Coturnix japonica: one gene and its partners. The main gene of each other region encodes a partner of the protein of the gene in region 6 in a complex. Links are inferred from orthologs where the notes say so. Each region holds a gene or a part of one and is shown on either strand. Other genes may lie near its edges.

Region 1 (3,595 bases), on a different chromosome or scaffold from region 6:
GCTTCACTTCATCTGGATGCTCATCAATAAACTGCCACCTGAAGCTCAGATAACAGACCAAACAAACAGCTTAAGACAATAAAGAAAGAGATCCATGCTCTCTAAACAAAAGGGTCCGGTGGAGCAGCTTGGGAGCTTCTTCTTGCAGCGGTGGCGTTCAGTTGTGAGGTACAGTGGTGACACTCATTGGTAGAGCATCTCAGGCTCACAACCTTCCGATGCTGTTGCTATGTAACCCTTCCATACAATGTCTGTTACCAACCCGTTGTTTTTAGTTAGAAATGCTTTCTTGCAATCAGGGATGGAGCGCAGCGCTCTGCTTGGCCTCCAGCTGCAAGCTGGACAAATCTAATCACAAGAGAGAGGTTATGCTTCGTGCTGAAGCGAGCCCCCAGGCAGCAGCGCTAAGAGCCATCAGCAAGGCTGTCCAGAGAGAAAGCTGTAGGGACTAATCCATGACCATTAGCTACTCTGAAGAAAATAATGGCCAAGGGAAACAGTTTAAATGGCCTCTGCGTGTTTATTGCCACAAGAAATTGACCCCCAAGGAGCTGCTGGAGCTTCTGAAGACTTTGCTGTCAAATATAACATGGCGTGTTGTTCATTCAGCCATTTCTAGTAGAGAACTAGAGTTATATGTACAGCAAGCAGCTTCTTGCCACATACTGACCCACCTGGCACAGCTCCCATAAGGGCTACAGGAAGCTCTGCTGTGCTAACTTCACTGCAAGCCAAAGACTCCAGGAACCAGAAGGGTTAAGAGTTACACAACATTGAACAAGCAGAAGCTCTCTGGGCTCATTAGCAAGGACATGGAGAACATGGGGCAGACATAACATGAGCCCACAGGTAAATCAGCTCACAGTATTAAGTTGTTTCAGAGCAAAAAACACCCTCTGGAAGAACTCAGCCATAGCTGAAACCACAACCGTGTGCTGCAATAGGCCAACACACCAGATAGGATTAACCCTCCATGACTTAAATCCCAGCATGCTTCCACCATGAAATAAACCTGAGATTTAGGACATCTGAAGACCTGTCAACTGCCTTCAGAGGACAAAGCATTTGGCATAGAACATTTCAACACAGTTTCTACAGTTTATTAGTAAAGAAATAAGTGGGTCAGACACCAGTGTCTGCAGCACCTCATGAAGGAACACCAGGGAGCAGAAGTGTTCCTCTGTGGGCAGCAGCCACTCCAGTTTTTGGCACTGGTCCTTTCTGGCTGGCAGGAAAATCCTTTTCCAGCAGCTCTCCTCTAAACACAGCCTTGCTTCCAAGAAGACAATCCACTGGGATACTGAATGCCAAGAACAGTGCTTGGTCCAGGCAGAGGAGCCGTTACTTTTGGCTCTGGCAGTGGTAGCAGGCAGATCTCAATTCAGTCGTGCTGTTTCACATGGTTATTTCTTCTATCTACATGTCTTCAATGCTCCACTTGTATGCCAGCTCCTGAACTGCCTTCTTATTGGCCATCCTGGCAAAGAACTGCTGCTCAAATCCGTTGGACCTACAAAATAACACCAACAAGACCATGGGCTACCGTGCACATCTACTAAAGCCACAAAGCTTTTAAATGACATCACATGTTTGCCACTACTTTTGCATCAACACCTCCAGCTGAGTTTCCACTCTGAGCTGTGGCAAACAGCAGGCAGTGCCACAACAGATCAGAACAGAACCTGGCTCCCTTTTGTCCCAGACAAGCATGTCCCTACCAGCCATTCATAACCATGAGAAGTGTTAAGGTTGAATAAGTTGCATCTCACTCACTGTAAGCTCTCTGAGGCAAAAGCTCATTTAGTTTTACTACCATTCAATGACATCAGTGTATCAGGAATACCTACCTGTCCACCCCATCCCAGCGATACCCAGGCCATATATTAAATCTGTTGAGAGGAGGTGCTGGTCCACTGTACCTAGGTTTCTCTAGAGACAAAAACAGCAATACAGACATTGGTTACTACAATGCAATCTTCAGGACTCAGCTGCCACAGCAACCTCACACTGTTCACTGAACAGCAGCTGCATTTCTATGCTCCTTGGGCATTAAAACCTGCACCAGCACAGCTTTCCATACCTTTCTTCTCCTTGTTCTCTTTGGCTTTTCTTTTTTTGATGAACTCAGCCATGGGGTCTCCTTCTCTCTCTTGTTCTCTCAGCATTCGATCCAGATCTTCATCGTCAATGTAACGGGCCAATGGTTTCTGCATTTCTTTTATTGCATCTTCCACATTCTGCTGCTGCTGCCTTTCCTGTGCTAATCTAAAAACACATACAAAGTACCACCTCAAAACTAAGGAATAATTTACTGCCATCTGCTCAAATTGTAGTATTGATCAGAATCTACTGTGTGTAGCATCCCTGAGAAGCACCCAGCAACAGACAGGGTAATCCCACACAAAATAACCTGGTCCCAGGCACAAAACTCATTGCCAACCCCCAGTCTGCAACCTGTAAAGTGACATGTCACCAAGACACCTTACCCCTTTCCCCATCTGGCATATTGCTCATCATGCAACAACTTTGCTTCATCTTTCTGCTTCTGCTCAAGACGTTCCTGCACAAGGTCCCTCTTGCGGCCTGACTTGTCGCGGAAGATGGTTTCCGTGTGTCGGGATTCCTCTAGGGATAACAGATATCCTGAGTCACTCACGTGGGAATATTTCAGTTTCCAAACCACTCCATAGCTCATGCAATGAGCTATAGGTGTAACAGCCTGCTCCTTCAGATCAGGAATAGCAGATGGGGCAGATGAGACACAAAAGCCTCACAATTGTCTCATTGGCACCTCTTTGAAATCACCACTCATAAATTTCTATTTTAGAGACCCAGTGGCTTTTACCTGTGTATATTCATCAGCATGCCTGGATGCCAGCCAACACAGACACTCTCCATCAACACCCTTACTACCAGCATTTTAAGACATGCCCTGATACAGCATTAACAGGCAGCCAAAAGCAGACTAAAAGCTGATGTCTGTGCACTGGTTTCAGACTTTTACCTTCCAAGTGCTTGCTACTTCTCTCCTGCTTCCTGAGCTCCTGCTGCTCTTTCCGCAGCACGTCAGCTGACACCAAACCAGCTTTGACCCCAGACATCATCTTGGCCTGCAAATCAAACAAGAATCACATTTACTGCTGGCTGAGAGCTGCCCAGTGACTCACAGGTATGATAAGGGGAAGTTACACGAGAGGCAGCTCTGTTACAAAGCCACTTTGCTGCCATCTTTGCAAACAGCTTCCACAGACTTCCAGAAATACAGAGTGCTCATGCAGAGCTCATCTTCCATCTACCTCACACGTGGTCTTATGGCAAACTGACAGTGTGGCACAGCTGCATTTACAAGCTATATATCTGCTCTACCATCTGTAAGCCATCACACTGTTAATGATTGCTATCAGAGGAAGCAATCTTCAGCACAGACGGAAAGACAAACCCCTTACCTTCTTGGGAGATCCCTTCTCATCTGGGTAGCGATGATCTGAGAGATTGGAGGGACTCCTTGAACCACGCTGACCCTTTCCAGAAGGCAGAGCCCTTTGAGGATGAGAGAAATTGGAGCATGAAGACTTGCTCTAAACACATTTAAGAG
Region 2 (4,029 bases), on a different chromosome or scaffold from region 6:
TGAACAGAACTCATCCAGGTCTGAGGAAAAGCACAGGCACTGAAAAGAAGCGCTGTAAAAAGTACATACAGCACAAGAAGGAGGAGTTACCATTATTTCCTCGGATAAATGCATCCCCATACTTGTTCTTTAACTGTCCATTTACGTATTCTTCTGTCTGTTCCAGAGCTATATTCATATAGCCATCCAGGCAAGCCAGGACACCTAAAGAGAGTGATAGTTTAAAAGTGAATCAACTTTAGCTTATTTCTGAACTAAACAAAACGGCTTTGCATTTGAACAGTACAAGGAAAAAAATTGTATCTTCATAGCAAACTAAACTTCCAAATGTGGTCAGGTGAGTCAGTCAGCAGCCCAGAGAGCATTAAAGGAACTAAACTGAGAGTAGGGAACTCCAGGTCCTGTACATGACTGGGTGGGGAGAACTCACTGAGACGTGACTTTGAAAGAGAACATCTTCCATTCTGAAAGTTTAGTTGTTGCTTTTTACTTTTGTTTTATGCCCAACTCCTGAGAAGAACCTGTGACATAAAGTGTAACTGGGCAGCCTAAGAACAAGGCTACAAGCTGAGTTTTGACCAAAGCTCATCAAGGATATATGTGAGAAATAACCCTTCTAATACAGGACACCACGCACATTTTTCTGATTTATTTTCCAGAAACTGGAGCACAGGAAGTTCTGCACGGATGTGCACAAGAATTTGTTTACGGTGAGGGTGACAGAGCACTGGAACAGGCTGCCCACGGAGCTTGTGGAGTCTCCTTCTCTGGAGATATTCAAGACCCGCCTGGACGCCTACCTGTGTGACGTGGTGTAGGGAGCCTGCTTTGGCAGGGGGTTGGACTCGATGATCTCTACAGGTCCCTTCCAACCCCTACAATTCTGTGATTCTGTGATTTTCATTCTTATAGACAGAATAACATGGGCTGCCAGCGTGATTTCTGTGTAAATCAATTCTACATCTTCAACGGGGAAAGGGTTTTCATATGACACTGAAATCTTCAGCCAAATTTAAGTGATGTACAAACAGAACATTTACATAGTGAACTAAATGTGGGGATTAACGGATGTGAAGAACTGCTCAGAAAATGCAATACGTACACAATGCAATTTGCTAATTGCATACATAAAACAACTTCTAACAAGCTGCTCATCTCCATCTTGTTTGTGTGTGTTTCCTGACTTCCTCCTTGCACACAGACACCACTATTAAAAATACAACTACCAAAATGGACAAGAATCTAATTTACCTGCTATTAAAACTGAAGACATGCAGTACATTGGCTGTATTTGAGGAGGGGGAGAACTCCAGTCTGAGAATCTTCCTCCAGGGTATGTTCTCATTTTCCAGAAGCGTTACTGTAATATCCTCCATTAAATAATTAGGAATTCAAGTTTTCTTGCCAACTTGTAATGGCTTGAGGATTGGTATTTTCCTGTATGTGTTTTTCATCCCTGTTTCCACATAAATGGGGAAATTCTGTCTGGCCACAAAGTGTTTTAAATACACCAAAACCTTCCAAGCCAAGTCAGTGACAACATTTTCACACCAGTAATCCTGAGTGCTTCAAGATGCCACAGAAAACAAATGTTTGCCCCAAGCTGAAGTTGGGCTGTGGGGTTTTTTTTTAAGCTATCACTCAACTGGCCAGGGTGCATCTTCATTTCTTTCATTGTTGTCTTTCTTTTCTTTGTATTTACTCCCAGAATACTAATAGCATCACATACTGTTGCTGCCCACCCTGGCTCATATTTTGCCTGTTTTTTATCAGTATGCAGCAATGTTTTTACATTCATATCCATCTGTACAACTGATTACACGTGCACTTTGCCAGGACTTCTTAGATGAGTACAGCGCTTGGCAGTGAACCAAGACATTTTACAGCTGCACACCAACGTGAGAACCAGGCAGCTGCTGTGCTCACAGTGGCTGGGAGGGTGGAGGTGCAAACATAAAATGAGAAGGGTAGCCTACAGGCAGAATCTGAAGAGATCTGCAACAAAAGCCTGAGATGCTGGGTTTCCTGATGTTTGGTTTATACAAGTGATCGAATTTCTGTAGAGAAATGAAGTGTGCATTTCTCAAATGTAAGCACCAGGAGGGAGTTAGGGAGAATGGAGGGAAACAAAGAAAGGAAAATAACTCCTGTATGACATTGGGCTGGTGTCCAAACACCAAGATTCCTTGTCAAAGGACAAACGAGCACTAAGATGAGCCAACTGAATTAAACCTACCTGAAGTAGCGATGTCTGGCATGATCATAACGTTTAAATCATCCCAGAATAAAACACCTGTCTCCTCATGGGAGAGGCATGATAAGAGCATCCAAACTTAACGAAGACTGAGATAAAGAAATAATTGTAGAGGCTGAGCTATTGGAGAGGCTCAGCCTAAAGGGAGCAGGACATCTCACTGCACAGACAAGGTGGAATCTTACCTCGATAATCGACTCCAGAATTTAACTTTACAACAACAGGCCTTCCAATGATCTGCTTTAGGAAGTCACTGGGAGTTTGCTTCCGTAGGCTCATCTTGATTTGTGTCGGTACGCTGGGAATAGATGTGAAAGCCGATATATGGATAAGCAGCACATCCCACCCTGCAGGCATTGAAGGCCAGGCTGGATGGGGATGCGAACAACCCGGTTTAGAGGGAGGCGTCCCTGCCTACAGCAGGGGGCTGGAAGTGGATGGGCTTAAAGGTCCCTCCGCACCGCTCCCCGCACCGAGGCACAGCCCGGCCCGCACCCCGCCGCCCGGTGCCCCATTGCGGCCGGGCCGAGACACAACGCCGCTCACACTCACCCGCTGCTACGCGCGCCCGGCCCCGCGTTCGCGGCCAATCAGCGGCGGGCGGTACGGCGCGGCGGCAGGGACACGGCGGGACGGGCGCGCTCGCTAAAGCGGGGCGGGTTGTGGCTGCACTGAGTAGCGCCGCCTCTATCGCTGCAGGGAGGAGCTGGATGGGATCACCTGCTGCCAAAGGACGGGGAGCAGCTTTCTGCTTCTGCACCCAGCTGTGGCCTGACCTCTGCAAAACCTCATCTGTGTCCGTTTTAAACTTATCTTTATAGTTTCTGTCTATTTTTATCGTTTCTGTCTATGGATACTTGGTTCATTGATGCCAGTCAACAAAATCCTTCTAATTTCCTTTTTAGTCCTAAATTTACAAACATATGTATTCCGAAAGACTGAAATAGAGATGGACAACGTTGTATCCTTAGCTCGCCACTTCTATGGCTTGAGGCTGAGCCATGAACCCACACCTTAGCAAATTTGTCCTGGTTTTCTGTATAAGCCTTGAAACAGTCTTCCATGCTGTACTGAGTAAATGAACCTCTGTGCAATAGGACACATTGCTGAGCATGTTGGTGTAGTGGGTTTTGCATTGGGAAAGAAAATTTCTCTCTTGCTTATTCACAAAGATTATATAATGTAATCACAACTGTAAATACACAACCTAAAGAATGTGTTGTTTCCTGAGTCACACAATCCCAGTGCTCAGGTAGGTGGTTTTCAAAGGAATTATGTAATCCATTCTGTAGACTCCTCGCAGATTTCAAAGCTTCGAGTGTGAAAAAATGAGACCCACTGTTTAATGGTTCTTCTTTTTGCTTCAGTCATCTAGATGAAAAAGGATTTGGGTCTAAAACTTTGCATGCGTTGCTATCAGTACATTCTTTAAAATATGGCATTGCTTTATCGTTCCACAAAGCAGAGAGCATTTTTCCAGCTGTATAAAACTCATTGAAATCAGTGACATTCTGCCCGTGTGTTTTAATCAAGATGAACTTGAAAGGTGAACATTGTAAGTGGTAGAAATTATTTATAATTTGGTAATAAAAGTTTATGTCTAACACTTCCAAACTTCATACATCTGCTATGTGCCAGCCTTGAGATATAGAACAATTGTGATTGCCTTTACATTTGGCCTCAGATGAAAGGTCATAAATTACAATGGGAGTTTTCAGTCCTTCGCAGCTCACAAAGTTTCCATTATAGCTTCTTCACCTCAAACATAAATGGTG
Region 3 (4,294 bases), about 2.7 Mb from region 6:
ACATCTCCATCCCAATGCATGTTTTATTGTAAAAGATTCCTCTCCCCTGCTCCCCCATCCCCAATTGCCTTCATGTCTGTTAACTATCGGACTCTTCCTCCTTCTCCTCTTCCTCATCATCGTCCTTTGCGTTGGCCTCTGATTTATCAGATGATTCATGGAGAAGGACGTACTCCCTGCTGCTGAAGCCAAACTTCAATACATCCTTTTCTTTCAGTTCGTAGTAACGTTGAGGCTCAATCCTCTGGTTGTTTAGAAAAGTACCATTGCCAGAACCAAGATCAATGATATACGGCTTTACCCTGCGGCCAACTGTGCCATCAGCGCGTGTGTGCTCCACAAGCCTAGAAAACAAAAACAACCCATCAAGTCAATGATAACACATGGATTTTTCAACACATCAGCCCCACTGTTGTAAATACTTAACCATACTTCAAAGATCTGAGCAAGTACAATGAGAATAATTAGACAGGGCACGGAAATACTCAAGATTCTGACAGACTGCTTCACCCCTTAAAGTTATGATCATATAACATAGTAAATCCTGAAGCAGAACAGATGGTTGTTCCTTAAGAGAGCAGCTCTGCCTCCTGAAGCACACAACCCTGCTGTTTATAAAGGAGATCGGCAGCCTTTGTTGGGAAGGAACAAATGAAAAACCCTCCTTTAAACGTTCTTTATTGCCAATCCCACCTGCTAATAACTCCAATTCAGATATACAGGCAGTTCTGTATTTCATCCTGTTGTGTTGTGTTTCTTACTAAAAGTCTAGATATGGTTAAACCAAAAGGAATTATATATATGTTAAGAGTCACGAGGCTGCTTATGGTTAAACAAAAAGGAATTACATATATGTTACATCCATACCTAAATTCCACCTATCTAAAACCATTGAGCAAACATGCATTTTCTAATCTGTGCACATCCAATACGTTCTTTGATTCCCTTTGCACGCAAGCGACCAAATAATCCCCACCTACCAGAGGGATACAGAGCGATACTGACCGGTATTGGAACACAGCGTGTTGCTTTGAGCAGGAGGGATGATCAATGGGGATATCTGCTATCCTGCGGTGCCTGCCCAGGAGATAAGCACTCTGCCTATGAATGTACATGACAGGCAGGAACTCATCGTTTTTAAATGGATAGAGACGCCATCGTTTCTTTGGAATCCGAGCTTCTGGGGGCTCACTGTATTTAATCACAACGCCTCGGAAAGTGTTGGTATCCTCCAGAAGGGCACCAGACAGTTCAAAGCTTGGTTTTTCTTTGTTTACAGCTTTATCTTTTGGTTTGTTATCAGATTGTTTGTGTTCTGGATTCTGCTCAGCACCGCTCCCCTCGTTGTTCTGTCGATGCTCTCGTCTTCTTTCGTTATAGAACTCCCTCTCTGCTTGTTGCTCACGGATGTTCTGAACATCTCTTTCTCTCTCATGGCCTCGACCTCCAGGTCTTTCCTCCTTTTTCCTCCTGTCTGAGTGATCTCTGTGCCTGTCTCTGTCACCGCTTCTATCTCGTCTGTGTTCTTGCTCTGACGTGTGTCTCTGCTTTCTCTCTTCATTTCCTCTGTGAGGATGATCGTCTCGTTCCTGAGGAAGAAGACAGAAAACACATGAAAAACACAGACTGTAACATGGTACGTGTATATCTAGATTTATTTATTTCCTTCCAAAGTGAATTCCCACAACTTGGGCCCAACAATGCAAGGCTGACAGAGAGCAATGCATCATAACATCAGCCTTCAGGGTCAGCCTGCAGGCTGGGCTCACTTAAAGGCACAAATACTCATTTTCTTACAGGAATAACAGGGGCTGGGCTCACTAAAAGGTACAAACACTCAGTTCTTTCCAGGAAAACACGAAGCAGAGAGCAAGGAGATGTTACACTGTAAGACTCTCTCTTCCTTAAGAGTTATTCTAGAGGGATCAGGGGGCTGGAGCACCTCCCCTATGAGGACAGGCTGAGGGAGTTGGGTTTGTTCAGCCTAGAGAAGAGAAGGTTGCGGGGTGACCTCATTGCAGCCTTTCAATACCTGAAGGGAACTTACTCCCAGGAGGGGAGTAAACTCTTGGAAAGGGCTGACAATAGCAGGACACGGGGAAATGGTTTTAAGTTAAAAGAGGGAAGATTTGGGTTGGATGTTAGGGGGAAGTTCTTCACTAGGAGAGTGGTTAGGCCCTGAAACAGGCTGCACAGGGAGGTTGTGGATGCCCCGTCCTTGGAGGTGTTCAAGGCCAGGTTGGACGGGGCCATGGGCAACATGATCTATGGGGTGTCTTTGGGGATCTATGGGTTGTCTGTGGGGCTCTATGGGGTCTGCATGGGGTCTGTATGGGGTTCAGTGGGTCTCTATGGGGCTCTATGGGGTGTCTATGGGATCTCTGTGGGGATCTGTGGGGTCTCTATGGGGATCTGTGGGGCCTGGCCTCTCCCAACGCCATTTACCTGCTTTACCCTCACACCTCCATGGTGCGGACTCCTGCTCCTCCTCCCCCGCGGTGATTTGCTCCTCCGGCCGGATTTACTCTTCCTTTTAGGCGACCTTTAAATCAAGTACACAAGAAATGCACAGAACCTCAGGGTTACGATACAGGGCCGTAATAAGGCCCTATGAGGCCTCCTACCTGCTGCTCCTGCCCCGTCGCTCCTCAATGGGGGGGGATTGGCTCCCATAAGCCGAACGGGACCCGCAGCTCCGTGGGCTGCGCTTCTCGGCCTTCACCGCCATCTCCCCCCTCCTTCTCTCCCTCCTCCTCCTCTCACTCTCAGCCTCCATCTTGCTACCGACTCCCCCCACAACCGGAATTACGTTTTCACATCCGTGTTACCTCTCTCTCAACCACCCGGAACTACATCTTTACCTAACGCTCATGCGCCTTTAGAACAAACAACGGAGCGGCGTTTATAACCATAGCGACCGAGGAGCCGCCATGATCCCACCGCCCGATTCGCTGCTGCGTTATAACCCGCCCATGCTGGTGAGTCGCCGTACTGAGAAGCGATCACCAGAGGTGAGTGAATATGAACCGATATTATGGCCCATGAAGGCCAAAGGAATCCTATATTGTATCAAAACCAGTGTTACTAGCAGCAACAGGGAGGTAATTGTCCCCCTGTGTTCAGTTTTGGGCACCTCACTGCAAGAAAGACATTGAGAATACATTCAGAAAAGGGTTATGAAGCTGGTGAGGGGTCTGGAGCATAATGGGGACTTATAAGAAGAAGCTGAGGGAGATGGGGTTGTTCAGCCTGAAGAAGAGGCTCAGGGGAGACCTTATAGCCCTCTATAACTCCCTTAGTTAGAAGTTAGAAGGGAGGTTGTAGTGAGCCTCTAATCCATGATAGAAGTAGAGGGAATGGTTTTAAGCTGTGTCAGGGGAGAGTCACGCTGGATATTAGGAAGTATTGCTTCTCAGGAAGGGTAGTCAGGCATTATAATGCACTGCCCAAAGAGGTGGTGGAGTCACTGACCATGGGAGTGTTCAAGAAACATCTGGATGTTGTGTTGATGAATATGATTTAGCTGGGAAGTATTGGGAATGGTTGGACTAGATGATCTTCTAGGTCACAGAATGACCCGGGTTGGAAGGGACCTCAAGGATCATGTAGTTCCAACCCCCCTGCCAAGCAGGGCCACCAAACATACACATTTACTAGATCAGGTTGCCCAGGAGACCCCATAGAGACCCCATAGATCCCCCATAGATCCCCATAGATCCCCATAGAGACCCCATAGATCCTCATAGAGACCCCATAGACCCCCATAGAGACCCCATAGATCCCCATAGAGACCCCATAGATCAGGTTGCCCATGGCCCCGTCCAACCTGGCCTTGTACACCTCCAAGGACGGGGCATCCACAACCTCCCTGGGCAGCCTGTTCCAGGGCCTCACCACTCTCCTAGTGAAGTCTTTTCCAACCTTGATAATTCTGTGTTTCTGTGATTCTGAATGGGACGGGGGGAGCCCTCACACCTCACCCATCCTGCTCACACCGCTTTCTCCCTTCAGGCCTCACCGTTGAAGGGAACCCCACAGGCCTCCCCGCCATCAGGCCCTGTCCCTCCGTCCCGACCTCGCACTGCTGCCGCCTCCGCCGCCTCCACGAAGGAACCTCAGGAGATCCTGAACGCCATCCTACCGCCGCGGTGAGCCGGGGAGGGGGGAACAACAAGAGCCTTAACTCAGGACCGCCCCGCCGAGCTCCATCGCTGCTGCTTTCCGGTGCAGGTCATGGGAGGAGGATAACCGGCTGTGGGTGCAGGAGGTGTCCAGTGTTCCCAGCACCCGGCTG
Region 4 (4,219 bases), on a different chromosome or scaffold from region 6:
AAGAAAATGGATCTGTCCAACCCCACCACACCCCCAAGCACGGGATGCAGCACACAACAAAGAGGGAGCTCAGCACAGCTGGGGAACCCCAAAATGTTCCTACCCACCCCCCTCTAAACACCGCACGCCCAGACCCTATTCACTCCCCTCCCCGCTCAGCACCGGGTGCGGACCCCTCTCCATTTCCCAACAGAATCCCAACCCCAAAAGGCATCCAGAGCTCAGACAGCATCCCCCGAGTGCTCCCCCACCCTAAAGTCCCTCGACCGAGCCGCCTCCCGGAGCAGAAGTTCCCCCCTGGAGGATCACACAGACATTTTGGGGGGGGGGGTCCCCCACCTGCTGCGCAGCCCCATATGGCAGCACCGCTATCGGGGCTCCCCACCTGCAGCCCCCATTTCTCCCCATCATCTCCGAGCCCTCCCACCCCGCTTTGTTCCCCTCCCCCATTGTTCCCGACAAACCCAAACCCACCATACCCCCGGGTCCGCCGCCGAGCAGCACAAGGGCTGAGCCCTCCCCGTGCTGTCCGTTGCTCTGTCCGTCCGTATCTCCGTCGTTCGCTCCGTCCCTTCCTCGCTCCGTGCGCGCTCCCCCCGCAGCCCCTTTTATCGCGCGGCCGTGGCGGCGATTGGTTCCTTGCGCGGTGCGGATCCGAGCGCCGCTCCTTTGTGTGCGGCCGCCTCTCCCTCACCCGGCGGCCCCCGCTGCCCCCACCCCAAAACCGCATCGCCGGCCCCATCCCACCGACCCCCCTCCCCAACCCCCCCATACCCCCCCCATACCCCCNCCCCCCATACCCCCCCCATACCCCCACCCCGCATTCTGCCGCCCACCGTGGGTGCGATGCTGCGCTCGGGGTCGCGAAGCAGCGCTCGGGGTGCGGGTACCACCCAGCGAGCGGAACCGCGATGGTGGATGGGGTTCTGTAGGGGTTCTGCTGGGGTTTTGTTGGGGTTCTATTAGGGTACTGTTGAGGTTCTGCTGGGGTTCTATTGGGGTTCTGCTGGGGTTCTGTTGGGGTTCTGTAGGGATTCTGTTGGGATTCTGCTGGGGTTCTATTGGGTTCTGTAGGGGTTCTATTGGGTTCTGTTGGGTTCTATTGGGTTCTGTTGGGGTTCTGCTGGGGTTCTATAGGGTTCTGTTGGGGTTCTATTAGGGTTCTGTTGGGGTTCTGTTGGGGTTCTATAGGGGTTCTGTTGAGGTTCAGCTGGGGTTCTGCTGGGGTTCTGCTGGTGTTCTGTTGAGGTTCTGTTGAGGTTCTGCTGGGGTTCTGCTGGGGTTCTATTCGGGTTCTATTCGGGTTCTTTTGGGGTTCTATTCGGGTTCTATTGGTGTTCTGTTGGGGTTGCTATGGCGACTCGCAATTCACCCTCCACGCCTGCAGGTGGCGCTATGCGGCCCGAGTCCTCCCGTCCAGCAGGGGGCGCTGTGCGGCTCTGCGCCCATCTAGTGCCGCTCTGTCTTGAGGCGGCGGCTCAAGATGGCGGAGGGAGGCTCAGTGTGCGGCTTCGTGTTCAAGAAGCGGGGCCTGGCGGCGGGGAGGGGGCGGCGGAAGCGGCCCAGCAGCGACCAGGAGCAGGGTGAGGGGCTGACGGGGGTGGTATATCCCGATGCGGCCTGTTGTGGTGCACGAGGGAGGCGGAGGAAGGCCGTGGGTCGTACAGCCCCTCAGTGGGGCCCGGTTATTGAGCTGTGTGATTGAGGGGCGCTGCCTCCATCCCCGGAGCCCCGCGGTCAGGCCCATTAAACCCCATTAAACCCCATTAAACCCCATTAAACCCCATTAAACCCCGCAGGGAGCAGCGGCGATGAGGGCAGCACCGTGGTGAGGAAGGAGCGACGGAGGGACGCCCCCAACCCCATGATCCAGAAGGTGAGGTGCACACAGGGCGCTGTGCTGTTGTTGTGTGGGGCACATCCAGCCTTCACACCCGCTGTCTGTCTGTCTGTCTGTCTGTCCGCCCTTCAGACCAGGAGGTGCACAAAGGAGCGGCCCTCATACGCCCTGAGCAGCAGCGATGATGATGATCCGTCGAAGGAGATCGGAGTCACGTACAAATCAACAAGGTCGGCGGTAAGGACTGAGCGCAGATGAGCTTCTGGGGTGGGGTTAATCCCATACTCATATCCCATACTCTGCTTCTGTAAATGTGCCATCAGCTCTTCTCAGTTTTGATCTGTAGCTGTGTTTCCCTGTCCCTCCCCTCCTAACACACAAGCTGGGTTTATTCTCCTGATATTCTGCATTGTTCAACAAGGAGCTCAGAGCAGCTCTGCTGGGAGGAAAGGTTGAGGGAACTGGGCTTGTTTAGCTTGGAGAAGAGAAGGCTCCGGGGAGACCTCATTGTGGCCCTAATACTTGAAGGGCAGGGCAGCACGTTCTTAGGAGGAGGTGGAGCCTTTGGGGTTCCAGAAGCTTTTGGTGTGTAAGATGGGTTTGTTTTTAATTTGAGGCTGGTTGTAATTATTTGGTTTCTGTGCAAATGAAGAGCTGACAGAACCTCAGAGCATTTGTCTGTTCACTGTATTCACAAGGAACCAAGACTAGATCACTGAATTAAAACAGAGCACAGGCTGCCCACAGCTGGGTTAAAAGTTCAGATATAACATCCTGCCTGTGGGCTGGGTGGTCTCATGGCTGAAGCACTGAACATGAGAGACCTGAGATCAGTTTCCAGCTAAGACAAGATGAAGCTTGAAGGAGTAAAGTGGGGATTTCTGTGTCCTGACTCTGCAAACTAAAACCTGGGAGCAGTCAGTAATTAACATCCTGTCTTGCACAAGTACTAGGCTGGATGCTAAGAGAAGATGCTAATAGAAGTTAGAAACTGCTGGAGGGTGAAGCAGGCCATGCCCAGCACTTGTTCAGTGACTGGCCCTCCAGGTAGCCGAGGGGTTTCTGTCTCATGCAGCCTTTCTTTTTACTGTTATCACATATTGTTCTTGCTTTTCAGAAACCTGTTGGCCCAGAAGACATGGGGGCCACAGCAGTGTATGAACTGGACACAGAGAAGGATAAAGATGCCCAGGCCATCTTCGAACGCAGCCAGAAAATACAAGAGGTTGGTCAGCCTCACTTCTAAGAGTTCATGCTATGCAGGAGTGTGTGTGCTTACTCATCTCCTTTTGCATGCCAAGACCTTGAGTCTTTTCTTGCCTGCATATTTGAGAGGTTGGAAGTGTTGTCTATGTAAATGGGGGGACTTGCTGGTGTTATTGACTACTTGGTATTAAGGAAGGTATGGCCAGGAGGGGAGGTTGGTATGGGAGAGATAAAAGCTCGCTTGTGACATGAAGATCTTCTGACCCCTAATTGCCTTTTTTTTTTTCTCTTCTAGGAACTGAGAGGAAAAGAAGATGATAAAATTTACCGTGGTATTAACAATTACCAGAAATATGTGAAGCCCAAAGACACGTCAATGGGAAATGCCTCTTCAGGAATGGTCAGGTAGGTTGGGACGAGCCTGGGATGGGGGGGGTGGATCATAGAACCACAGAGAATTTCAGACATTGTCCCCAGGGGCACTTTTCTGGGCTGAAATGATGCTGTTTTTGGAGCTTGTTCCTATCTAATGAGTTTGGTGTCTGGTTCTGGCCGGGCCCGCAGGGGTTTTCTCCATTGCAGTGACACAGCTGGACTGAGCCTTCTCCCACCCTTTCAGAAAAGGACCCATCCGTGCTCCAGAGCACTTGAGGGCCACGGTGCGGTGGGATTACCAGCCAGACATCTGTAAGGACTACAAGGAAACAGGGTTCTGCGGCTTTGGAGGTGAGTGGGTCTTGCCTGCAGGGATCCAATCCAGATGGTGAGCCCAAGTTTTGTGGCATGAAATTGCACAGTTAGTAATTCATGGGCACCTGTTTGCAGAGTTAGTATTTCCTCACCTGAGGTTATGTAGGTGGTGGGATCTCCTTTTCCTTTTCCTATGTGGGTGAATGCTGGAGCTCTTGCTGTGGCATCCAGAACGTGATGCTTGTGGCCTGTTGATCCTGAGAGGGCAGGATGAGGCCCTCTCTTGGCCTCATCTCTCTTGGCCCTGCCCTGTAGCATGGGTGGGTACAGAAGTAATTGGGTTTCACCTTGTACTGAGCAAATCTCAGGCTGCCCCTGGATGAGGTGTCCTTTGAACAGCTGGGCAATGGGGGTAGATTGTTCATCCCTCTTTTGTGCTTTCCAGACAGCTGCAAATTCCTCCACGACCGCTCAGACTACAAA
Region 5 (4,292 bases), on a different chromosome or scaffold from region 6:
CTGTTGCATCCCACCACGGCCTCTGCCTTTGGAGACCACCTCTTCTTTCACCATGTCAATTATCTCATCGGGGATCCGAAGGTATTTAATTGTGCTGCCACGGATGTAACACTCTGGCATCCTCCAGAACTTGTCACCATCCTATTGGGAAGCAACGTGTTAAGCTGAGAACAAAACCACGTGCACTTAAGTTGCTTTTTGACACTTGAATATCTCCATCACTTCTGAAGCGTGCGACAGATGTAATAGTCTATTCTGAATGTACAACCCATAATTAGCTGTGAAATTCCTGTTTTCCCTTTAAAACACGCAGCCCTACAACCTGCTGGGGAGTCAGGGGGCGTTCAGCCATGAGCCACTGCAGTTTCAGCCCGTTCACAACCGCCTTTGACTCTCACAGAAAGTGAAGGAAGAAGAGGAAACAGCACCTTCCCTTTGCTTCTCATACAAGAAGAGAATCGAAAGTGGGACTGGAGAGGGAAATGTGGTAAGTTCAACACAGCTGCTGCAACACGGGGCAGTTCCAGCACATAAAGCCCCAACCAGAGTCACCTACAAACTGAACCCCTTTGTGGTGTGGATTGAGCAGCGAGGAGCATCCAGCTGGGTGTGGGGTGAGCCCAGCAGCGCACAGGAACCGCGGCTGTGGAAAATAAGAGCTTACAGATCACGTTCAAAGAAACCTTCGGGTGCCAAGTTACGGAGCAGCTGCCTCTGTGTTTTGTTTAAGGCAGTTTCAGGGCTTTGCTAGGACACAGCCCATCAGGGCTTCAGCTCCTGTGGCTGTGGGAATAGGAACTGCATGTGAAAGTTGAACAACAACTGATGTAAGCGGGAGGAGGGATGGAACCTCGTGCGCACGGCCGTGCTCTGCTGCAGGGCTTGGCTGAACACAGGCTCCTCACAACTATCACACATGGACAGAGTGTCCACAACATCCCAGAGGAGTGGGTGAAACCAGAATGCCTCGTTTCACCTCTCCAGAATCAAGTTGTACCCCCCTCCTCCTCTGCTCCGGTGTTATTTGGGGCAATGCAGCATGCACAGGCAAGTTCCGTGTGTGTGAGACAAGCAGCCTTCTTCAAACAGGCACCCAGCAAACCCCACCCTGCCTGGATCCGCCCGGCTGCACTTTGGCTCTCTATGCAGGAAGGGATGGAGCCAGGTCCCCGGCTTCCTCGTTCCAGCTCCCCATGTAAACAGCTGCCGCAGCTCCATGCCATCTAGTGGCTGATCCCCACCGTGCCACCAGGAAGGCTTCCATATATACCCCCCCAGTAGCACCCAGGGGGTATTTAGGGGTGGGGAGTGAACTGCAGACCACTCGGTGGGTATAAATGCTGAAGTGCTCTGCCCACAGCAACACAAAGCTGCTTAATGAGGAAGCAGTATTAAAGGCCGGCATCCCTTGTTCTGCAAGCACTAGTAAGGCTTTGCCACTTGCCACCCCTTCCCATTGAACTTATCTGTTTATCTGCCCCAACAATCTGTGGATCCAGATTTTTAGGGCTCACTGCTCTGCTGTTATGATCCTTCTTAAACCTTTGCTTTGTTTAAGTACACACATCACATCTCCGTGCCCCAGCACTATTGGCCAATACCTTCCTGCTGTGGGTCCAACAGGCACAGAAACCCTTCCTGAAGAAGAAGGGTTTCCCTGACAGCCTCCCCCACAGACCCGTGATGTTCCCAGGCACAGAGAGCAGCAGCAGCAGCAGGAACGTGGCCAGGCACAGGCTGCCAGGGACAAGACCAGACACTTGAGGCTGAGGTCAGAGCTCAAAGCACAGATCCCAATCTCTTCTCGGAGCACTTTGGCCATGGGCAAAAGTAGCAGACGAGGCACAACCCGGTTAAACAAGAGGCCCTAATAACTTTTGATGTGGAGTTACAGGGCGTGAGGCAGGTGATGATGAAAGGCAGCACTGTGCTCGATGGGGCTGCATGGAGCGGGCAATGGGACAGGACCTGTCACCAGCCCTTCACACTGAGCACCTTCACCCTGCTGTCAATGGGCTCATTCGTTTCTTACACCTCATAACTGCGTTACATTCACATTCAAAGCAAAAGCAACACACACAGAAGGGTGAGGATCTCTGCGAGTCCCACTCAGCTGCAGGGCTGGGGGCTGATAGCAATGTGGGGTCTATGGGCGCAATGGGGGGTCTATGGGCGCAATGGGGGGGGTCTATGGGCGCAATGGGGACAACTCATTCCTGATCTGCTTTGATGCTGTTCAAAGTAGGGGGTCTATGGGCGCAATGGGGGTCCTGGCATTGAGCTGGTTACCCGTGAGGTGCAGATGACCTCCCGCAGGTTGATGTTCATCCAGTTGTCGCAGCTCACCAGGTGCCCGTTGTACGTCTCGCCGTTCTTCAGCTCCACCAGCTGGAAGAAGCAAAGGGGGGGGGTCAGCATGAAGGAACCGGGACCGACGGGGCGGCACGGGGACCCAACGGGACCCGACGGGGCGGCACCGGGCCCATAGGCCGCAGCGGGAGTGGGCCGGGACTCACCATAGGGTGGTTCTGCGCCGTCTTCAGCAACGACAGGGGCAGCTGCGGGGGAAAGAGAGAAAGGCCTCAACAACCGGGAACCGGGACCGCCTCGGATCCCCATGTAGGGGCTCAGGGAGTACCGGGACAACCGAACCGGCCCGGCCCGGCCCATTCCCGCACTCACCATCGTGCCGGAACCGCGGAGCCGCCGCCGCGCCGGGCGCTGCCGCTCAAACCACCCCCGGCCCCACACGGGACCAATCAGAGCTCGGCGCGGTCCTCGCGGAGCCAATCAGCGTGCAGGACCCGCCTCGGCCGTAAAGCATCGCCGAGGTTGGCGGTGCACAGCGTCACGACAGTGCCGTAAATTGAAACGCCGAGCGGGAAGCGGCACGGAGCGGCGCTCAGGAGGCGCTCTAGGCAGCGAGGCGGCGCGCACTCTATGGTCGCGCGGGGCCGCTCTGGTCCTCGGGGCGGCGCGTATTCTATGGCCGCGCGGGGCCGCTCTGGGCGTCGGGGCGGAGCGCGCTCTATGACCGTGCGGGGCCGGTCGCTCAGTGCGGTGCGGGAGCGGAGATGGAGAAACCGCGGAGGGCGGTGGTGGTAACGGGTACGGGCGGATGGAACGAGACCGGGGGGTGGGGAGGGGACGGCAGGGTGGGCTCTGATTCCATTATCTCAACGGGGGGGATGCGGGATTGGGAGGGGGCGGTGAGGGGCACATGGGGGTGTCGGGGTCCTGGTGGGGGTGTACGGGGATTGGGAGGGGCGCGACGGGGCTGCGGCGTGTCACAGACCCCTCCGGTTATACCCCCCCCCCCCGGTCCCCGCTGTATTTGTCCCATCTCTTGCCCCGGGGGGGTTGGGGGGTGGTCTCTGCTTCAAACATTCAGAGCTGATGGTGCTGGATCTGCCCCTGATGGTCGCACTGAGACCCCATTGCAACCCCATGAAGGTCTGCAGGGTGGGCTCAGTGCTGTGTGCCCGGCAGGACCCTGTGCTGGGTGTGGGGTGGCTGAGGCTGGGTTTGGTGCTACCCATAAAGTTGCTCATCTGATATGCAAGGAATCGATCTGGGGGTCGGTGTGGAGGATGAGTGAGGGGGCAGCTCAGTTGGGTTCAGAACGAGAGGTTTTGGTTACATTGGGGTACCTGGAAAGCTGGTGTGATTCATATTGAAACCATCCCAATGAAACACCTGTTTGGTGCTCTCACATCTATAGCTTATATATGGAGAAACAACAAGTGCATTAGGATCCTGTGGGAGCCTTCAGGAGGGTTATTATGGGGAGATATTGATGCTGGTTCCGCTTGGAGGCTCAGGTTGATACTGAGATCCCATTGAGCTGTACAAAGCCCTGTTGCTGTTGTGTGCGGTGTAACCTCAGCCCTCCCCTTCTGCTGGCAGCACATGGGAGGTTTCCATTAGTGTGTCATGTAATATTTGTGGTCCTGACTTAGATGCAGTGCGTGCCTTCTGATTGCATTAGGCTCACAGGGTAGCTCTGCCATCTGAAATTAAAGCATATCGATCCCACGCCCAGATAAATGCCCAACCTTTGTGTGCTCGCTCAGGGAAAGATGTGATGGGTTACTAGTTAACTCCGAGTTACTCATTAGGAAATGCAGATTTGGGGACGTAAGTGTTTTTATAGCGTTGTGTAACCTTTGGTGCTCGGTGCAGGTGGGTCAGCAGTGCTTTGTTTGGTTCCTATTAAGGCAGAAGGGATTTTGGTGAAGGTGTGAGCAGAGAAATGCTGGATGGAGACTTGTCTGTGTTTGTGGGCTGTTACA
Region 6 (3,500 bases):
AGTTTTACAACACAATGTCTTTTCAGCTGTGGGATATCAGGAAAAAAGCTGCTGTCCAGACATTTCAGAATACTTACCAAGTCTTGGCTGTAACCTTTAATGACACCAGTGATCAGATCATATCTGGGGGCATTGACAACGATATTAAGGTATGATGCTTGTGTCCTTGTGCTTCTTTCCAACCACCTTCACCTTTTCCATCCCATCAAAATTTGCTTTAGCAGCACGCAAAATGCCTTGGTCAAGGACAAATGTGGTTAATTTTACTGTCACGAGAACTGCACTGACCCACAGTGTCTTGATCTAAGGCCAGAAAACTCTGAGATAGTTGTTCCAGGGCTGTCTGCCATGTGACTGGCCATGCATCTTAGCGTCACACACTGCCACTGATATGGTATGCAAGCTCTTCTGGCAGCTGGTGCCCCTCACAGAGGCTCTAGAGCCATATATGTTGTACGCTAAAGAAAATTTGGTGACACATCCATGTTCTCTGACCCTTGCTTCAATAACTTACTTTGTCACCTGCTACTGTGGAAAGTTCTTATTTAAGAGCACGCTCAGTGTTCATTCACTTGGTAGCTGAGATTCTCCAGATAGCTTCACAGTTCAGTCAGCCTTGCTGTCTTTTTGGCCTCAGTCTCCAGTCTTACCTAGGCATGGGGAGCACATACTTGTCAGAGGGCCACCACTAAGCGTAGCACTGAAATGATTTCACTTCTAATTGCCCTTTGAATGGCAGTAACTCATAGAGAAAGAACAGCATGAAATTTTGAAGACTGGATAACTGCTCCTCTGTGCCATGGGTCAGTGGAATTTGGGAGCTGAGGGAGCTAGGCCAGATTGAAAGGAAATCCTGCGTACATCAGCTGCTGAAATTTAACTATTTTCTGCTGATGTGGTTGGACACGTTAGGTAAGAAATGGGGGGGAAAATTTGCCCTTTAGAGGACAACACATAACTTTATAGCCTTATATTTTAGCCATTCAGACCTTACCCAACTGCAAGTGGAAAGTTATTCATCAGATGGCTGATCAGTACTTGCATGAAATTGGAAAGAGCATTGCTAATAGTCTTGTCTGTCCATTCTAAGCCACAATTTTGTCTCTGCTGTCTGAAAGGTGTGGGACCTTCGCCAGAACAAGCTCACGTACACGATGAGAGGACATGCAGACTCAGTGACAGGCCTCAGTTTGAGTTCAGAAGGTTCTTACCTGCTCTCTAACGCAATGGATAACACAGGTATGTCCTGCCAAATGTGACAGCACAGCTGTGCAGACAACTGTCAGCCTCTGCCTTTGAAGAGCTGTGTGTGGTATTTCAGAAGGAGCAGCTGAAATTGGTCAATGTGCTAAAATAGGAGAGTCAGGTGGGCGGAATGCAGGCAGGGTCTGCAGAGAAACCTTCAGTTCTCTTTGTTTGAACCGTGACAGTTACATCCTTTGTAGAGAAGGAGCAGCTGTATCAGAAAGGTTTGTCACGTCTCCCAAAGGGCAATGAGGACATGGGCTGTGGCACAAGTTATTTGCACAGGCAGTTGAACATAATCTTGGTCTGGCTTTTGTCAGAGTGGTTCAGCTGCTTCCCTGCAGCAGGGAATGACAGTGCTGTTTCCAGACTGCTCATCTCCTGCGTATGGGTGCTCAGTGAAGCTGATCTGATTAGAAGTATGATCATGAAGTGTATTAGAATAAAGCAAATGCTCATGTGAGGAGACAGTAGCTCATTTGTGTAGTAGTTGTTTTGGAATTTTCCCCTCCTGTTGGGAGTGGTCTTAATGTAATTATAAATTACTGCATTTTACCTTTCATATCACAGCTTCCTGCAGCGGGAGGCTGTTGGTATCCTTTAGCTAAGGAAACGGGCATGAAAAGAACAAGGAATGCAACCAGATCTTTGATCATTAGCAGCTGACCTTGCCCCTGTAGTTCTGGTATCTCCTGCTAATTACTGTGTGCTCTGTTGCAGTTCGCATCTGGGATGTGCGACCGTTTGCCCCAAAAGAGAGATGTGTGAAGATCTTCCAGGGGAATGTGCATAATTTTGAAAAGGTGAGTGTATTACAGACCTAAACACTCATTTATACAGCGTTGCCACATGAACTTAAAGAACAGTTTACAGGGAAGTTAAAGTTTTAACCAGTGAGACTTTAATAAGGACTCGAAGAAACATTAACGCACAAAGTGAGATTCCAATTAAAGCTGTAGTAACAAAATTTCTTTGTTCACTTTGGCTATAATTAGCTGTAAATGAAGTATTTTCTACACATGTTGTATAAAATAACAAGGCACTGGATGTTTCCAACAATAAAACAAAATCTTTAATTACTTGATGAGAATCTTTTGAAGAGGGATCATTAAAGTAGTGCTCTTGATACTTAAAGTCTCATAGTGATTTTACTTGAACTGGAAGGGAAAAGCTAAATCTTCTTCGGAAATGGAACTGTGCCTATTGTTTTGTTTTGTCTTAGAATCTTCTGAGGTGCTCCTGGTCTCCAGATGGGAGTAAGATAGCAGGGGGATCTGCTGACAGGTGAGTTATCACCGTGTTTCTCTGTTACTGTCAATGCCAAACCATTTTTGCAATCACTGCTGAAATGAGCCTGGATAGTCTCTAAAATGAATATGAAGAGCCAGAGTTGTGCATGGAGGTGTGAAGACCCAAACAACCCCCTGTGGTAATCTGTGAGCATTGTCTGCAGCAATGGTAGCAGAGATGTGTTCATATTGCCTTTGCATCAGCGGAGGAGCACTATATGGTTGTAAAATCCTTATTACTGTTGTCAGAAACCTTCTAGAGAGCTCCATTTCTGCTTGTGTTCAGTCACTGCATCCAACAGATGGACAAGCAGATGACGGGAGCGTAGCTGGCAGCATGCGAGGTCTCTTGCAGTCATAGCAGCAGATTCTTGTGAGACTTCTCCAAAGGCAAAGATTCTGGCAGATTGCTGCAGAGTGCTGCATTTTGTGCTGATAATGACCACCAGAATCAGTCAAAGCTAGCAGGGAGCACCAGTGGCGTTTCGAGGATCGTTTGTGATCCTTACTTAATTAACAGGTGTGAGGAAATTAAGTTCTGACTAAATTAGCACATATCTGACTTATTTAAATGAGAGCTTCTGTAGACTGGATAACCAAAGGGTAAACTGGGCAGAGGGAGGAGGGCAGCAGAGGGTCCCTGCCAGACACTGAAGGTCGCCACGAAGGATACCAACCTGCTGGAGCAGATCCAGGTGCACTCTCAGTGACATGGAGACAGGAATTCCTGCAGGCCGGAGTCCAAGGCATGGAACAGCAGTAATCAGCAAATTAATGAGCTTCTGATAGACGACAGGGAGAGCTTTAGCTCATACTGTGCAGATATAGTGGGGCCAGCTGTCACAGCTGGCAGCTGAGACATGACCCTTCTTTCCAGTCCCACTGGGCTGCAGCAGCAGTGCATGAGGTGATGAATACCTGTTCCTTCATGGCTGGTCCCAGTGTGGGCAGCCTGACACGGTGAAG
Region 7 (4,037 bases), on a different chromosome or scaffold from region 6:
ATGGCACCGTGTTTCAGAAATGCATGAACAGCTGATGCGTTCTGTACGCTGGGAGGCTGGGACTGGCATACTCTAAAAATGGAATCCATGTGAATTAAGTTCAGCAGCTTGTCTTTGAAGGCGCTCATTTCATCCTTATCACACAGAGTCTTTTGTTTCTGTTCAGCTGTACGAGAGAAAATGCTCCCTATGAAATTCCACATATTTGGGAGAACACTTGAGCCAAACGTCACATTTGCATCAGCCTTACTCTGTTCAGGGACTCCTGGGTTTAAGTGAGGTTGACTGGCAAAAGGCTCCTTTACAGTTACGTCTTGCTCCATGCTATTCTTCACAAAGCTCTTGAGTAAGATGTCACCTTCTGTAGAAGGCATGTCTACGACGTTTTCCTCAAGCTCACGCGCTTTGGGGCAGATCAGAAGCTCCGTGCAAGGTTCTAATCTCCCATAGGGGGCTGCTGGCATAAGTGTACCTGAGTATGGATAAATCAGATGAATGAATGCATCCACTCTTGCAAAACAGCTTACTCAAGGCACCAGCAAAGCATTCACTGCTGCTTACCAATTCTGATGTAAACGTGAGTGTGGTGTTCAACCCAAACAGGAAAGATGGCTTTGGGGAATACGATTCGGATCTGGTCCAGAAGATGCTTTTCAAGAGAGGAAGCGTGCAGTTCCTGGGAAAGTGTGGTATCATTGTAAGCTACACACTTGTACAACCTTTAAAATGTGTTTGAACATAGAAGATTCACATCTTTTTCTAATACACCATTTGAAACATAAAATACAATGAAAACCCACAAGACTTAGCATTTGCTTAGGAGCAGAAAAGAACGGGGGATTGCGACAAAAGCTTGTATCAACATTCTCTGTCATTTGCATGAAAATGATGTGAACAGTGGGACAGGTTTTCTTACCAGTATTTCCCAATCATCTGCTGAGAGCGGTTCCACTTCTACTTGCTGACAGGAGGAGACGTGTGAACAGGGCTCCACGAACACCTGATAGAAGCAACATTATTTCTGAATAATTTAACTCCTTAAACACATAAAACCTCTACTCAGAAACTCAAAAAAGGGACCTGCATTTCAAACCTGTTCTCCATCTGCAATGCCAAGCTTCTCTGCTAAATGCCTGTTCATCTCTGCGATATTTTCACCCCGCTGACCTCGATGCCTCATTTCCATCCAGCTCAGGTAGATGGGCTCATCACGGCAGGATACTTTGACAGCTTGGCCCTGTGATTATCAGGCAGATGAAACGAATTACTATCAAATCATACTCAGAAATACTCAGACCCATCTGGGTCCAGGGGCGAGGGGTCCCGGCCCGTTCGGAGGATGCACAGTCACCACAGCGACAGTGCGGGGGGCGGCTGGTTGCCCTGCGCTGTCGCTGTGGTGACTGTGCGTCCTCTCGAGGAGGGCTCTGAGCACCGCCATGATGACGGGATACGATGGGGGGAGGAAGGAGAACCTCTCTCCCACAATCCCCTCCGAACGGGCCGCCCCCATCTCGTCCCCGTACCTGCTGCAGGCGGAGGTGCGAGGCCAGCACGGCGGGCAGGTGAAGGAAGCAGTCCCGGGTCCCGCTCAGCACCACCGTCACCGCGGCGACTCCAGCGGCCCCTCCGCCGGGGTTACCGCTGCCCCACATGCCGCCAGCCGGGTGGGCCGGGCTGTAGTTGCTCGTTCCGCCCGGCTTCTCGGCAGCGCCCACTTCCTTCCCGGAAGAGCCGACCGGAGCCGCGGTGGCGGCCGGGAAGATGGCGGCGGGCGGTGCTGGCGGGCCGGGGGAGGCGTGTAGGCACCACCAGCAGCTGGGAGCATGCGGGTCCAGGGCCAAGTACCGCGAGGGGCGGCGACCCAGGGCCGTCAAGGTGCGGGGTGAGGGCGGGTGGGCTGCTGGAGACTTGTTTAGTCCGCAGGTGTCGGTGCTCTGACATCTGGAGAAGCATCAGCTCCAGCTGATGTTCTGTGATGTGTTCATCCCTGCTTGAGTTCATCCCTGCCCGCGGTGGCTCCACACAGCGGGCAGCACGAACGCTTTGAGTTGTTGTTTTCGCAGTGAGGTAAACGTGGGCATTTTAGAGCATTGAACAGCATCTCCCCTATGAGGAGAGACTTAGGGAAGTGGGTCTGTTTAGCCTTGAGAAAAGAAGGCTGAGAGGGGACTTGATCCAGGTTTATAAATACCTGAGGTGGGGAAGCCATAGTGGTGAGGCTGGTCTCTTTTCAGTAGTGCGTGGGGACAGGACTAGGGGTAATGGGATGAAACTACAGCATAGGAAGTTCTGCATTAATGTGTGGAAGAACTTCTTTACAGTGAGGGTGACGGAGCACTGGAACAGGCTGCCCAGGGAGGTGGTGGAGTCTCCTTCTCTGGAGATATTGAAGACCCGCCTGGACGCCTACCTGTGTGACATGGTGTAGGGAGCCTGCTTTGGCAGGGGGTTGGACTGATGATCTCTAGAGGTCCCTTCCAACCCCTACAATTCTGTGATTGTCCTGTGCTTCTTTCAGGTGTACACCATCAACTTGGAATCGCGTTATTTACTAATCCAGGGAGTTCCTGCGCTGGGCGTCATGAAGGAGTTAGTGGAGCAGTTTGCCTTGTACGGAGCCATAGAAGAGTACCATGCACTTGATGAATATCCCGCAGAGCAGTTCACTGAAGTTTATCTGATAAAATTCCAGAATCTGCAATGTGCCAGGTATTATACACAGCACTATCTGCCTTTTGTTGTTTTAATCCTTCACGGCCCCTTTATGTATGATCTACATCATACAGAGTTGAAGTAAAACCCTCAGCTCTGCTAATGCCATTTAGTTTCCTTCAGGGTGGCCAAGAAGAAGATGGATGAGCGCAGTTTCTTTGGGAGTTTGCTGCACGTGTGCTACGCTCCAGAATTTGAAACAGTCCAAGAAACCAGGGAGAAGCTGCAGGACAGAAGGAAGTATATTGCAAAAGCAACAAATCAAAGAGGTTTGTAGTTAAATCTCATGTCCAGTTTTAATTCCAGTGGTTGGTACGTCTTGGTAAAGCCAAAAGCATCCATTGATGAAAATATACTGTGTTTAGCTGTTTTACATTAGGACATTTCTCAGTTATTCCTAGAGATGGACCTTTCAGAAAGCAACGTTTTAGTTAACATGCACTTTAAAGCTTTTAAACCTCATTGTTTCCTTCATTTCTTTTCAAAACGTTACCTGAAATTTTAAGTACTGCCAGGAAACTGAGGATCAGTTTGTTCCCCTTGTTACAGTTCTTTCAGGCATACCCAAAAAGAGAGATTAGTAAGAGAGCCCCCTCCCTGCCCCTTATTTCCTGCCTGTCATTTGGGTCAGTAAGGAACACGAGGAATGGATTGGGCTGACAGGCAGCTTTGCTGCTGAGTTCCCAGGCAGCGCTGAAGGCTGGACAAGCTGTAAAATAAGTACAATGCCAGGCACAGGCTTCTCCTTTCCTATGCTTATGTACTTGGATATCATTATCCACTGCAGGTGCTGCTTAAGCAGAATCACAGGAAGGTGACTGGGAATGAAGTATTGCTGGTATTATTTCTGTCACTGTATTGAACACTTTATGTATTAGAACTAACAGTGGCATAAAATAATGAAGCTGTTTTCCTTTTCTTTTCTTGTTGTTTTAAAGACTGCTTTCTGTTGAAGAAAACAGAGAGGCCTCGGAGGACCAAGTCTGATTCTCAGTGGAGTACCCCAGGATCACATGCAGCCACTCACTGGGATCCATCCTGCTTTCCAGTTCCTCATGGGTTGTCCCAAAACATGGAATATCCTTCTGGCAATCACAGTCAGGACCTTTTGGCTTTTCCCCACTGCGACAACCCCAGTGCTGAAACCTCTGGGAACTCCAGTCAAAGCTCATCCCTAACTCAGAAGGCGCATCCAGGAGGATGTGCTGCACCAGTGCCTTTAATTCAGCAAAGAACAGTTCCAGCTGATAACGGCATTGACAGGTTTATGCCTCGTACAACTCACCTGCAGGAACGTAAGAGGAAGAGAGAAGAGGGTAACA

The links.
Region 1: SNRNP40 (region 6) and BUD13 share a complex: the UniProt entries of both Homo sapiens proteins name them as parts of the minor spliceosome. The link is inferred for Coturnix japonica from reciprocal best matches to the Homo sapiens genes SNRNP40 and BUD13.
Region 2: SNRNP40 (region 6) and LSM6 share a complex: the UniProt entries of both Homo sapiens proteins name them as parts of the U4/U6-U5 tri-snRNP complex. The link is inferred for Coturnix japonica from reciprocal best matches to the Homo sapiens genes SNRNP40 and LSM6.
Region 3: SNRNP40 (region 6) and SNIP1 share a complex: the UniProt entries of both Homo sapiens proteins name them as parts of the minor spliceosome. The link is inferred for Coturnix japonica from reciprocal best matches to the Homo sapiens genes SNRNP40 and SNIP1.
Region 4: SNRNP40 (region 6) and RNF113A share a complex: the UniProt entries of both Homo sapiens proteins name them as parts of the pre-catalytic and catalytic spliceosome complex. The link is inferred for Coturnix japonica from reciprocal best matches to the Homo sapiens genes SNRNP40 and RNF113A.
Region 5: SNRNP40 (region 6) and LSM4 share a complex: the UniProt entries of both Homo sapiens proteins name them as parts of the U4/U6-U5 tri-snRNP complex. The link is inferred for Coturnix japonica from reciprocal best matches to the Homo sapiens genes SNRNP40 and LSM4.
Region 7: SNRNP40 (region 6) and RBM48 share a complex: the UniProt entries of both Homo sapiens proteins name them as parts of the minor spliceosome. The link is inferred for Coturnix japonica from reciprocal best matches to the Homo sapiens genes SNRNP40 and RBM48.

The regions. Positions count from the first base shown.
Region 1 is NC_029539.1:4,398,579-4,402,173, forward strand, and holds the end of BUD13 (BUD13 homolog), read right to left. Parts: intron 3,541-3,595; coding exon 3,447-3,540; intron 3,111-3,446; coding exon 3,005-3,110; intron 2,626-3,004; coding exon 2,487-2,625; intron 2,266-2,486; coding exon 2,081-2,265; intron 1,930-2,080; coding exon 1,848-1,929; intron 1,511-1,847; coding exon 1,417-1,510; 3' UTR 501-1,416; downstream 1-500. UniProt on the Homo sapiens protein: Involved in pre-mRNA splicing as component of the activated spliceosome. As a component of the minor spliceosome, involved in the splicing of U12-type introns in pre-mRNAs.
Region 2 is NC_029519.1:27,572,606-27,576,634, reverse strand, and holds the start of LSM6 (U6 snRNA-associated Sm-like protein LSm6), read right to left. Parts: upstream 2,801-4,029; 5' UTR 2,612-2,800; coding exon 2,440-2,611; intron 205-2,439; coding exon 91-204; intron 1-90. UniProt on the Homo sapiens protein: Plays a role in pre-mRNA splicing as component of the U4/U6-U5 tri-snRNP complex that is involved in spliceosome assembly, and as component of the precatalytic spliceosome (spliceosome B complex).
Region 3 is NC_029538.1:3,338,324-3,342,617, reverse strand, and holds the start of SNIP1 (smad nuclear-interacting protein 1), read right to left. Parts: upstream 2,801-4,294; 5' UTR 2,777-2,800; coding exon 2,625-2,776; intron 2,543-2,624; coding exon 2,446-2,542; intron 1,590-2,445; coding exon 1,006-1,589; intron 345-1,005; coding exon 80-344; 3' UTR 1-79. Other genes in the region: DNALI1 (axonemal dynein light intermediate polypeptide 1), read left to right, coding at 2,931-3,011, 4,012-4,148, 4,231-4,294. UniProt on the Homo sapiens protein: Required for pre-mRNA splicing as component of the spliceosome. As a component of the minor spliceosome, involved in the splicing of U12-type introns in pre-mRNAs. Down-regulates NF-kappa-B signaling by competing with RELA for CREBBP/EP300 binding.
Region 4 is NC_029542.1:2,229,020-2,233,238, forward strand, and holds the start of RNF113A (E3 ubiquitin-protein ligase RNF113A), read left to right. Parts: upstream 1-1,419; 5' UTR 1,420-1,483; coding exon 1,484-1,583; intron 1,584-1,799; coding exon 1,800-1,876; intron 1,877-1,972; coding exon 1,973-2,077; intron 2,078-2,957; coding exon 2,958-3,065; intron 3,066-3,341; coding exon 3,342-3,451; intron 3,452-3,665; coding exon 3,666-3,772; intron 3,773-4,181; coding exon 4,182-4,219. UniProt on the Homo sapiens protein: Required for pre-mRNA splicing as component of the spliceosome. As a component of the minor spliceosome, involved in the splicing of U12-type introns in pre-mRNAs. E3 ubiquitin-protein ligase that catalyzes the transfer of ubiquitin onto target proteins.
Region 5 is NC_029543.1:3,005,695-3,009,986, reverse strand, and holds the start of LSM4 (U6 snRNA-associated Sm-like protein LSm4), read right to left. Parts: upstream 2,801-4,292; 5' UTR 2,686-2,800; coding exon 2,683-2,685; intron 2,559-2,682; coding exon 2,517-2,558; intron 2,389-2,516; coding exon 2,290-2,388; intron 142-2,289; coding exon 1-141. Other genes in the region: PGPEP1 (pyroglutamyl-peptidase 1), read left to right, coding at 3,075-3,108. UniProt on the Homo sapiens protein: Plays a role in pre-mRNA splicing as component of the U4/U6-U5 tri-snRNP complex that is involved in spliceosome assembly, and as component of the precatalytic spliceosome (spliceosome B complex).
Region 6 is NC_029538.1:602,876-606,375, reverse strand, and holds part of SNRNP40 (U5 small nuclear ribonucleoprotein 40 kDa protein), read left to right. Parts: intron 1-26; coding exon 27-149; intron 150-1,118; coding exon 1,119-1,239; intron 1,240-1,965; coding exon 1,966-2,048; intron 2,049-2,467; coding exon 2,468-2,529; intron 2,530-3,500. UniProt on the Homo sapiens protein: Required for pre-mRNA splicing as component of the activated spliceosome. Component of the U5 small nuclear ribonucleoprotein (snRNP) complex and the U4/U6-U5 tri-snRNP complex, building blocks of the spliceosome.
Region 7 is NC_029517.1:20,668,994-20,673,030, forward strand, and holds the start of RBM48 (RNA-binding protein 48), read left to right. Parts: upstream 1-1,237; 5' UTR 1,238-1,439; coding exon 1,440-1,565; coding exon of another isoform or gene 1,566-1,655; exon of another isoform or gene 1,656-1,677; intron 1,678-1,735; exon of another isoform or gene 1,736-1,764; coding exon of another isoform or gene 1,765-1,878; intron 1,879-2,521; coding exon 2,522-2,712; intron 2,713-2,838; coding exon 2,839-2,984; intron 2,985-3,653; coding exon 3,654-4,037. Other genes in the region: PEX1 (peroxisome biogenesis factor 1), read right to left, coding at 1-472, 562-676, 917-1,000, 1,094-1,237, 1,527-1,655. UniProt on the Homo sapiens protein: As a component of the minor spliceosome, involved in the splicing of U12-type introns in pre-mRNAs.